Linked DNA regions of Callithrix jacchus. The protein of the gene in region 2 purifies or fractionates together with the protein of the main gene of each other region. This does not show direct contact. Links are inferred from orthologs where the notes say so. Each region holds a gene or a part of one and is shown on either strand. Other genes may lie near its edges. The genes, in order: GDI1 and RAB5B.

Region 1 (4,336 bases), on a different chromosome or scaffold from region 2:
CTCACCTTGCAAAACCCTGAGGCAGCTCACCCAGGCCGTAAAGCGGGTATAAATACGGGCTCTTGCCATACCGGGCCAGGGACTCACTGTACAACTTGATGCGGTTGATGGTCTCAAGACAGGGCTGGTCCAAGTAGCTGGGGGACAGGGGTAAGGGAAGATGCTCCAATAGCAGCACCCTTGACTCACCACCACCCAGGTACCAGGCCAGTCTTCCCACCACCCTGAATGGCCTAGGGAACATGAAGATCAAATGCAAGGGGGAAATGGAAAGGGTGATAGGTGAGCCTATGGCTGAGTACAAGAGACATGCGGGGCAGGGGAACAGCAGGCAGGTGTGGGGAGGGAGGAGGCAGGCCGGGCGAGGGGGCTGCCGCCACACCAGCTTCCCTCACTCATCAGTGCGGTAGAGCGCCAGGGCGTGGCCAGTGAAATCGATGACATCCTGGCCCAGATCAAACTTTCGGTAGACATCACGCATGCTGGTAGTCTGAGGGTCAACACCCTCAAAGGTCTTGGGGTCATTCTCATCGAAGTTTGCCACAAACACCAGGAACTTGCGGAAGCGCCGTTTCTCAAACATGCCCATCAGATCTAAGGCAGGCGGCAGGACGAGGTTCTGCACCAGCGCAGCACAAAACTCTCCTTCCCAAAGGGCAGGGCCCCACTCCCAGTGTAGCTGTTGTGGGACCTTAGCTCAACCCCTCCGCTCTTTTCAGCCTCGGTTTCCCTGCCTCTATGAAGAGGGGACTGGCCTGGATGGCTCTAAGGGCCTTCCTTGCTCGGACATTTGGGGATGTCTCGGGGATCCAGTGGAGCCCCTGCCAAAAGGTCAAGTCTTTCCAAAGGAGCCCTGTCCTCCTCCACGTCACATCCCTGCTGCGTGTAGGCCTCTCTCCTGGCAGCCATCCGTGAGGCATGGCATGGGGCAGAGAGGATACAGAGTGAAGGGCCTCTGGTTCTTCATGGGGAATGTGACTTTGGACAAGGGGGTGCCTTACTCTGGACAGCCACCCATCCCAAGGACAGTCAACTTCCCTGCCACCCCATGATTCTCTGGCTCAGGGGGCCCACACTCACTGGAAGCCAAGGCCTCAGTCTCAGTGGACGGTACTTTGTAGATCTTGCCCCCCTTGTAGACAAAGCTGCCCTCCACCACCTTGAAGTCCAGATAGCGAGTCACCTCTGTATACAGTAGCATCTTTACCAGCTGCCCTGTGGGTGTGCATGGGGCAACATCGGCACTGCTCTCTCCAGAGTCTCTGCTGGTCTGGCTGCACCTCCCCATCACCCCGACCTGCAATATGTCCTTCCTGTCCCTCACCGTTAGCCATGAGGAATTTGGGAATGAGGTCAACGTTCCAGTCTCGGCCTCGGCCCATCGACTCAGGGGGCCCCTCCAGCAACTGAAAACGCTTATACAGCTGTAAGCAGAAGAGAGACACCTCAGGGACCATCTCCTCCTGCTCCAGGCACCTGGGGAGCTTCTTCTACCCTGTGCCGCTACGTGGGAGGTGAACAGGGATGGGCCTGGGCCCAGATGTCTCACCTCCTCCAGGGGTGTGATGGAGGAGCTCTCACCCCCATAGTAGGGGTTCCGGTCCATGTGCAGCACCTTCTTCCCGTTCACAGACATGATGCCCGACAGGATGCATTCCTGGAGGGAGGGCAATACCATCCTCTCACTCCTACCTGCCTCCCTTCCTACCAGCAGCCCTGATTTGTTCCCCACCCAAACCTGATCCAGTGGACAGCTCCTTCCACCCCCTCAAACCAGCTAGTTGCCTCGCCTAAAATTGGGGTGACAGCTTCATCTGACCACCGTCTCCTTTGTAACCTTGCTGGGCAAAGGAGTCCCATCCCCCTCACAAGGTAGGCAGTGAAATAATGGAGGCTCTGAGAGAGGCAGGGCATCCAGCAGACACAGGATGGCCTTCCAGTACCCACAAGCCAATGGACATGTATCTACGCAGAGCTGCACAGAAAGGCTGTTAAAACACAATGAGGCGCAGACGAGACCTAGCTGGACTGCGAAGGACACTCGAAAGGGAGGTGAAGAAAGGCTTAGCGCAGTCCTTGAAATTGTAGGCCCCACCCTGGACTGATCTTTCTTCAAATGGCGGGAGACCCTGCTGCTGATGAGGGGCATCTGGGCTTGGACTGAGAAAGAAGAGTCTCTCTGGGGAGCGGGCCAACGGGGTTTTTGGGGAAAAGGGGAAGATAAATACCCTCACCCGTCACTGTCACTAGCCCAAGGACAAAGGCTGCAGATGCTACTCAGCCTGAGGTCTCCATAGGCAACCGGGGTGGGGTTGAGGGAATGTGCTTACTGCCCCCACCGCTGCTCCTTCTGGAACATTCCCTGGATCCCCTGGCCCCAGAAGACGAGGAGGTGGGCTGAGGGCCCACCCTGAGGAGGCCCCCTGACCCCATGTCCCTGTCCCTACCGGGATTAGCGCAAGATGGGAAGGGACGCTAAGCGGGCGATGGGTGCGGGCAACCTGCGGGAGGGGGGGAGATTCCGTGATGGGTGGGGGCGATGGGTGGGCGGGGTCGGGGCACCGGGCTTAGCTGGGGTGCATTTTCCGGCCCAGCAGGCACAGGGGTAGGAAAGATGGGAGGGTGCCGGGGGTCAGACCCGGGCAGCCAGGAAGGGGGCCCCTTCGGGAAGATGGGGTCATAGCAAAAAGCAGAGGCGACGTCGCGGGGGGAGCGGCGCGGGGAGCGGCGGGGTGGGCACGGTGCCGGCTTTTTGGAGAGCCGAGCGCATCAGATGGCAGTGACCGGAGGGTGGGCCGGCGGCCACATCATCGCGGGGGGTGGCGAGGGCAAGACACGGGGCCAAGAGCGCCTGGGGCCGCACTTACGGTGAGGCCGGTCCCCAGCACGATCACATCGTATTCCTCGTCCATGGTCAGGCCTCGGTGCCAGTGCCCGCTCGGCTCCTCCTCCTCCTTCACCGCCGCCGCCGCCGCCGCAGCACTGGACCAAAGATGGCGGCGTTTCGGTCGCCGCCTGACCCCTCCGCCTCGTCAAAGAGTCCCGCCTATTCTCGAGCCCCGCCGCGCCCGGCCAGATCCACCGTTTCCCCAGCTCGCCTCCCAGGAGACCTGCTAGGGCCCGGGCCACAGCACCAGCGCGGCTCCGAGGACGACGCTGCTCGCCGAGGGTCCAGAGAGGCGCGGGGCGGGGCGGGCGGGGCGGGCTGGCGGCCGGTACTGCGGCTAGGAAAGGATCCGTGCGCGGAGCCGCGCGCGCCCCGCCCCATCCTCCCCGCCCCGCCCCGCCCCGCGCGCGCCCGCCCAGCCCCGCGGGAGGCTCGGCGCGGTCCCGCGGCCGGGTGCGCGCCGCTGCGGCAGCCGGGGCAGCCCCCTCATGATACGAAGGCTGCCATTGTCACGACGGCCTCCCGAGTCGCCAAAGCGTAACGGGACTCGGCCCGACCGCCCCTTCCTGCCCTAAGTGGTTAGGGCCCACCCTGCTAAAGCCCCTCCAGGTCTCCGCGGATGCTTCCTCACCTCTTCCTCACCGGGCTCCATCCTCCCGCATCCCTCCAGCGAGCACGCACCTAAAGCCCAGTGCAGAAATGACCTACAAGAGGCCCAAATCGTGGCGATCCGCGTTTATTAGGAAGGAAACAACCGAGCACGCCAGGCTCCTGCCAGGCACTCCCGATGGGAACATGCCAGACAGCTGGAGATTGCACCCAGCCCACCTGGGGTGGAGGTCCCTTCCTTCTCAGGCCACAGAAATAAACCCCAGTGTACTGCTTATCATTAGCACAGCATCACCAGAAAACAATAACGACAGCAAAGCAGGTCAGACAGTTAAGTAGTACCTCCACACCCCCAAACTCAGGGAGCCCCATAACCTTAAGGAGAGAGCATTTGCTACATAAAAGCACTATCCACAGCCAGGGATGATGTAGACACAATAAATAAGGAGAAAGGGGACCCTAGAATTCATGTCCCTTACGCCTCACCGCGGCTGAGCCTGGGACATTGGTCTAGCATCTACGCAGAATTATGTACACCTTGTTGGTAGGGATGGGGGCAGCCCCAGGAAATCTCCTTAGTGGGCTGAACGGGGAGCAAGATGGGCTAAAGGGAGCTTGGGGTTCATGCTGTGGTAGGAAGAGGGACACTGTCCCACCCTCAACCCCCTCCTGGCACAGGGTCACACAATCTGGGTCAAAGAAATGGTGGGGCCCTTGTGGTCATCAAAGCGATCCATGGTCTTGAGGCTGAGGATCATGTGCAGGCCATAGGTGAAGATGAAGAGCATGAAGAGGGAGGTGAGCAGCCCCATCCATATGCCGGGGGAGAAGAAGCCGGCG
Region 2 (3,808 bases):
GAGCTGAGATCGCCACTGCACTCCAGCCTGGGAGACAGAGTGAGACTCCATCTCAAAAAAAGAAAAGAAAAAGAAAAAAGCCTTACCAAGCATTGAATATCCTCTTACCCCAAGGCACTCACCTCCAATGGTGCTCTCCTGGTACTCGTGGAACTGCCCTTTGACAAAACGTAATACCAGGCTTGACTTTCCCACTGCAGATTCTCCCAGCAGGACCAATTTGAACTGGCATATTTTGCTGGCCTGGGGTTGCCCATTGGGCCTAGCTGTGCTTCTGCTAGTCATGGCCAGATTATCAGAGTAGGAAAGGGTGGAGGGAGGGGGATGCCGTAAAGGGGGGAGGGGGAAGGGGAGGGGATTTCCAGGCTTCAACAGTCCTGCAAGAAAAACAAGTATATAAAATTAGACATAGGTCCAATGAACTGCAATTGCTTTTTAGAGAAATCATAGAATCTCTTCATCTCCTTGCTCCTATGAGGACTTAGCTCTTGCAATCATCCACTATTGACAGGTTATACCTCTGAGAAGGTCCTGGGCAGCTGATACTCAGTTCTAAGAGTTGGGAACAGCAAAATAAGAACTGCTTCTAGAGTTTGCCCTATCACATAATCTCTAACTGCCAAGGGACCTGAAATAGAGAGACTGAAAACTGAGAGATTTTAATTCCCTAGTAATTTCCCACCAGGTCTTTAAGATTTTTTGTTTGAGTCACACAAACTGATCAACCTTTGGTTGGCCTGAAGAATATCCAGATCCACCCACAGGTACACTAGATTCCCAGTATCTCCTTGGCATCCTGGTGCTGTGTTCTTCTTTTTCTTTTAGCTCTATTGTGAGAATGAGAGATTCACTCTAGGGTTGTGGGATAAGAGGTCACCCCTTCTAAGGGTGCTATATAGCTGCTGCTATATCCTTCATATATGACTGGTCTGCCTGATAAGACATTTCTAAAGATCTAACCAGGGTCCCATTGACAGAAAATCTATCCTTTCTCATTTTTTGTTGAAGGTAAAGAAAGAAATACAACCAACCCATTATATTCATTATCAACTGTTTCATTAACAACATTTTTTTCACTGTTTCTGCCCTCTTTTCAAATCTGAAAGACTATCAAGTCTGAGAGTCAGTAAACTTGACCTACCGTCAACTTGCAGCTGTCTTGCTGGTGCCTAGGGATTAGATTACCCTCCACACCAAAGAGGCCTAATAGCTGTAGCTCTCCAAATTAGAGGCAGAGGAAGGTATACTTTCTCAACACATGCAGGAATCTCCAGAGGATGGTATAGGGGTAAGTCTGAAAGCAATCAATATTTGATGAAAGAATATACTGAATCAACTCCCTCATCTTCTAAGAGGGCTAAGAAAGCTGCTGGTGGGGCAGGGAACAGAGAGTTGGGACTTGGAGATTCTAATCATCTAAATCTGAATATATTTCATCATCATGACTCTGAGCGGAAAGGAGCTATAAATTCAAAGGGGAGTTAGCATGGGCAGAGCATGCAAAAATCTCTCTCCCAAAGGTAAGCACTGCTTGACAGTTGTACTTTGCTTGTTCAAATTAATATTTCCCTTTTCCAAAGCTGATCCTAGTGACTTAAGAGACATCATACTCTATGGCATATGGGGAAACATTATTATTTTGTCACAATTAGTGGGTTTGGAGTTAAACTGGGGTTAAAAAATTTCAGTAATCCCACTTACTAGATAGTAAAGACAGTAAATCATACAGGAGGCAATGCAGAGGAACAAATGTTCTGGAGTCCAATTCTCTGGGTTTGTTTTCCAGTTTTACTTATTAGCTATGAACCTTGGGTAAGTCACTAAATGTATGTGTGCATTCATTTCCTCATCTGTAAAATGAGGTAACAGTCTTATACGCACCTACTTCATAAAGGTATCATAAAGATTACATGAGATCATACATATAAATAACTTAAGTATTTGATATATACTAAGTACTAAATAAATATTAAACTACTAATCATATGACATAAAGAAAATTTCTCTATTTCTCTAAGCCTTACTTTCTATCTTTGTAAAATGGAAAAAATACCATCCTCATAGCTACAAAAATTAAGCGAAAGACATGCTTAGCATAGTTCCAATAATAATAGCTATTAAAATATATATCAATAGTAGTTGTTATCAATATATTCCTAAAAAGCTGCCACAGGCTAGGCATGGTGGCTCACATCTATAATCCCAGCACTTTGGTAGGCTGAGGCAGGTGGATCACCTGACCTTGAACACCTGAGGTCAGTTCGAGACCAACCTGGCCAACGTGGTGAAACCCCATCTCTACTAAAAATATAAAAATTAGCTGGGTGTGGTGGCACATGCCTATAGTCCCAGCCAGCTGGGAGGCTGGGGCAAGAGATTCAGTTGATCCCAGGAGACGAAGGTTGCAGTGAGCCAAGATCATGCCACTGCACTCCAGCCTGATGACAGAGCGAGACTTCATCTCAAAAAAAAGGAAAAAAAAATTTAGCCAGGTGTGGTGGTGGGCGCCTGTAATCCCAGCTACTAGGGAGACTGAGGCAGGAGAACTGCTTGAACCTGGGAGGTGGAGGCTGCTGTGAGCCGAGATCCTGTCATTGCACTTCAACCTGGGTAACAGAGCAAGACTCTTTCTGGGGGTGGGGGCAGCAGCTACATGAAAGTGGTACAGAGAAAGAAAAAGAGAAAAAACAGGCCTGGCACAGCAGCTCATGCCTGTAATCCCAGGGGTTGGGAGATAAAAGTGAAAGGATTGCTTGAGGTGAGGAGTTTGAGACCAGCCTGGCAACACAGCAAGACTGAGTTTCTATAAAACATTTTTTGTTGTGAGCTGGAGTCTCGCTCTGTCACCAGGTTGGAGCACGGTGGCGCGATTTCGGCTCACTGCAACCTCTGCCTCCCAGGTTCAAGTGATTCTCCTGCCTTAGCCTCCCAAGTAGCTGGGATTATAGGCGTTCACCATCACCCCTGGCTAATTTTTTTTATTTAGCAGAGATGGGATTTCACCACGTTGGCCAGGATGGTCTCAATCTCCTGACCTCGTGATCCACCCGCCTTGGCCTCCAAAAGTGCTGAGATTACAGGTGTGAGCCACTGTGCCCAGCCTACAAAACATTTTTTAAAATTAGCTGGGCATGGTGGTACACGCCTGTAATCCCAGCTACTCCAGAGGCTGTGATAAATCACCTGAGCCCTGGAGTTGAAGATTATAGTGAGCTATGATTGCACCACTGCACTCCAGCTTGGGCCACAGAGTGAGACTCTGTCTCTAAATAAATAAATAAATATGTACGTATATATTTATATTATCTCTGCTCACTGCAACCTCTACCTCCTGGGTTCAAGCGATTCTCCTGCCTCAACCTCCCAAGTAGCTGGGATTATAGGCACGCACCACCATGCCTGGCTAATTTTTGTATTTTTAGTAGAGATGGGGTTTCACCATGTCAGTCAGGCTGGTCTTGAACGCCTGACCTCATGATCCACCTGCCTTGGCCTCCCAAAGTGCTGGGATTACAGGTATGAGCTACCATGCCCGGCAATCAGTTATTCTTTAAACTATTTATTCATTTTTTTCAAACTATGAGTTATCATTTAAGAAAAAAAGTTTTAAAAACATTGCTTTAGAGAGAGCTGACACTGAAAGATGGGGTAGTAGGGATGGAAATAAATTCAGTTTCTGAACAGTCTATAGCTATGGTTACTACTCAAGCACTTCTGGATGAAATTCAGATAAGGACTGAATGATGCGCCTTCCACAGGTCAGAGAATTCTCCAACCCTGCCACTAAAGTTGTAGCACAATCATGAAA

The links.
Region 1: the proteins of RAB5B (region 2) and GDI1 purify together in Homo sapiens (affinity purification with mass spectrometry; 3 studies listed by BioGRID and IntAct, counting the BioPlex papers as one, with this or other methods). This does not show direct contact. The link is inferred for Callithrix jacchus from reciprocal best matches to the Homo sapiens genes RAB5B and GDI1.

The regions. Positions count from the first base shown.
Region 1 is NC_133524.1:150,231,751-150,236,086, reverse strand, and holds the start of GDI1 (rab GDP dissociation inhibitor alpha), read right to left. Parts: upstream 2,996-4,336; 5' UTR 2,913-2,995; coding exon 2,868-2,912; intron 1,658-2,867; coding exon 1,550-1,657; intron 1,425-1,549; coding exon 1,325-1,424; intron 1,216-1,324; coding exon 1,081-1,215; intron 595-1,080; coding exon 396-594; intron 138-395; coding exon 6-137; intron 1-5. Other genes in the region: ATP6AP1 (V-type proton ATPase subunit S1), read right to left, coding at 4,177-4,336. UniProt on the Homo sapiens protein: Regulates the GDP/GTP exchange reaction of most Rab proteins by inhibiting the dissociation of GDP from them, and the subsequent binding of GTP to them. Promotes the dissociation of GDP-bound Rab proteins from the membrane and inhibits their activation.
Region 2 is NC_133510.1:63,690,061-63,693,868, forward strand, and holds part of RAB5B (ras-related protein Rab-5B), read right to left. Parts: intron 1,295-3,808; exon of another isoform or gene 1,142-1,294; intron 378-1,141; 5' UTR 286-377; coding exon 123-285; intron 1-122. UniProt on the Homo sapiens protein: The small GTPases Rab are key regulators of intracellular membrane trafficking, from the formation of transport vesicles to their fusion with membranes.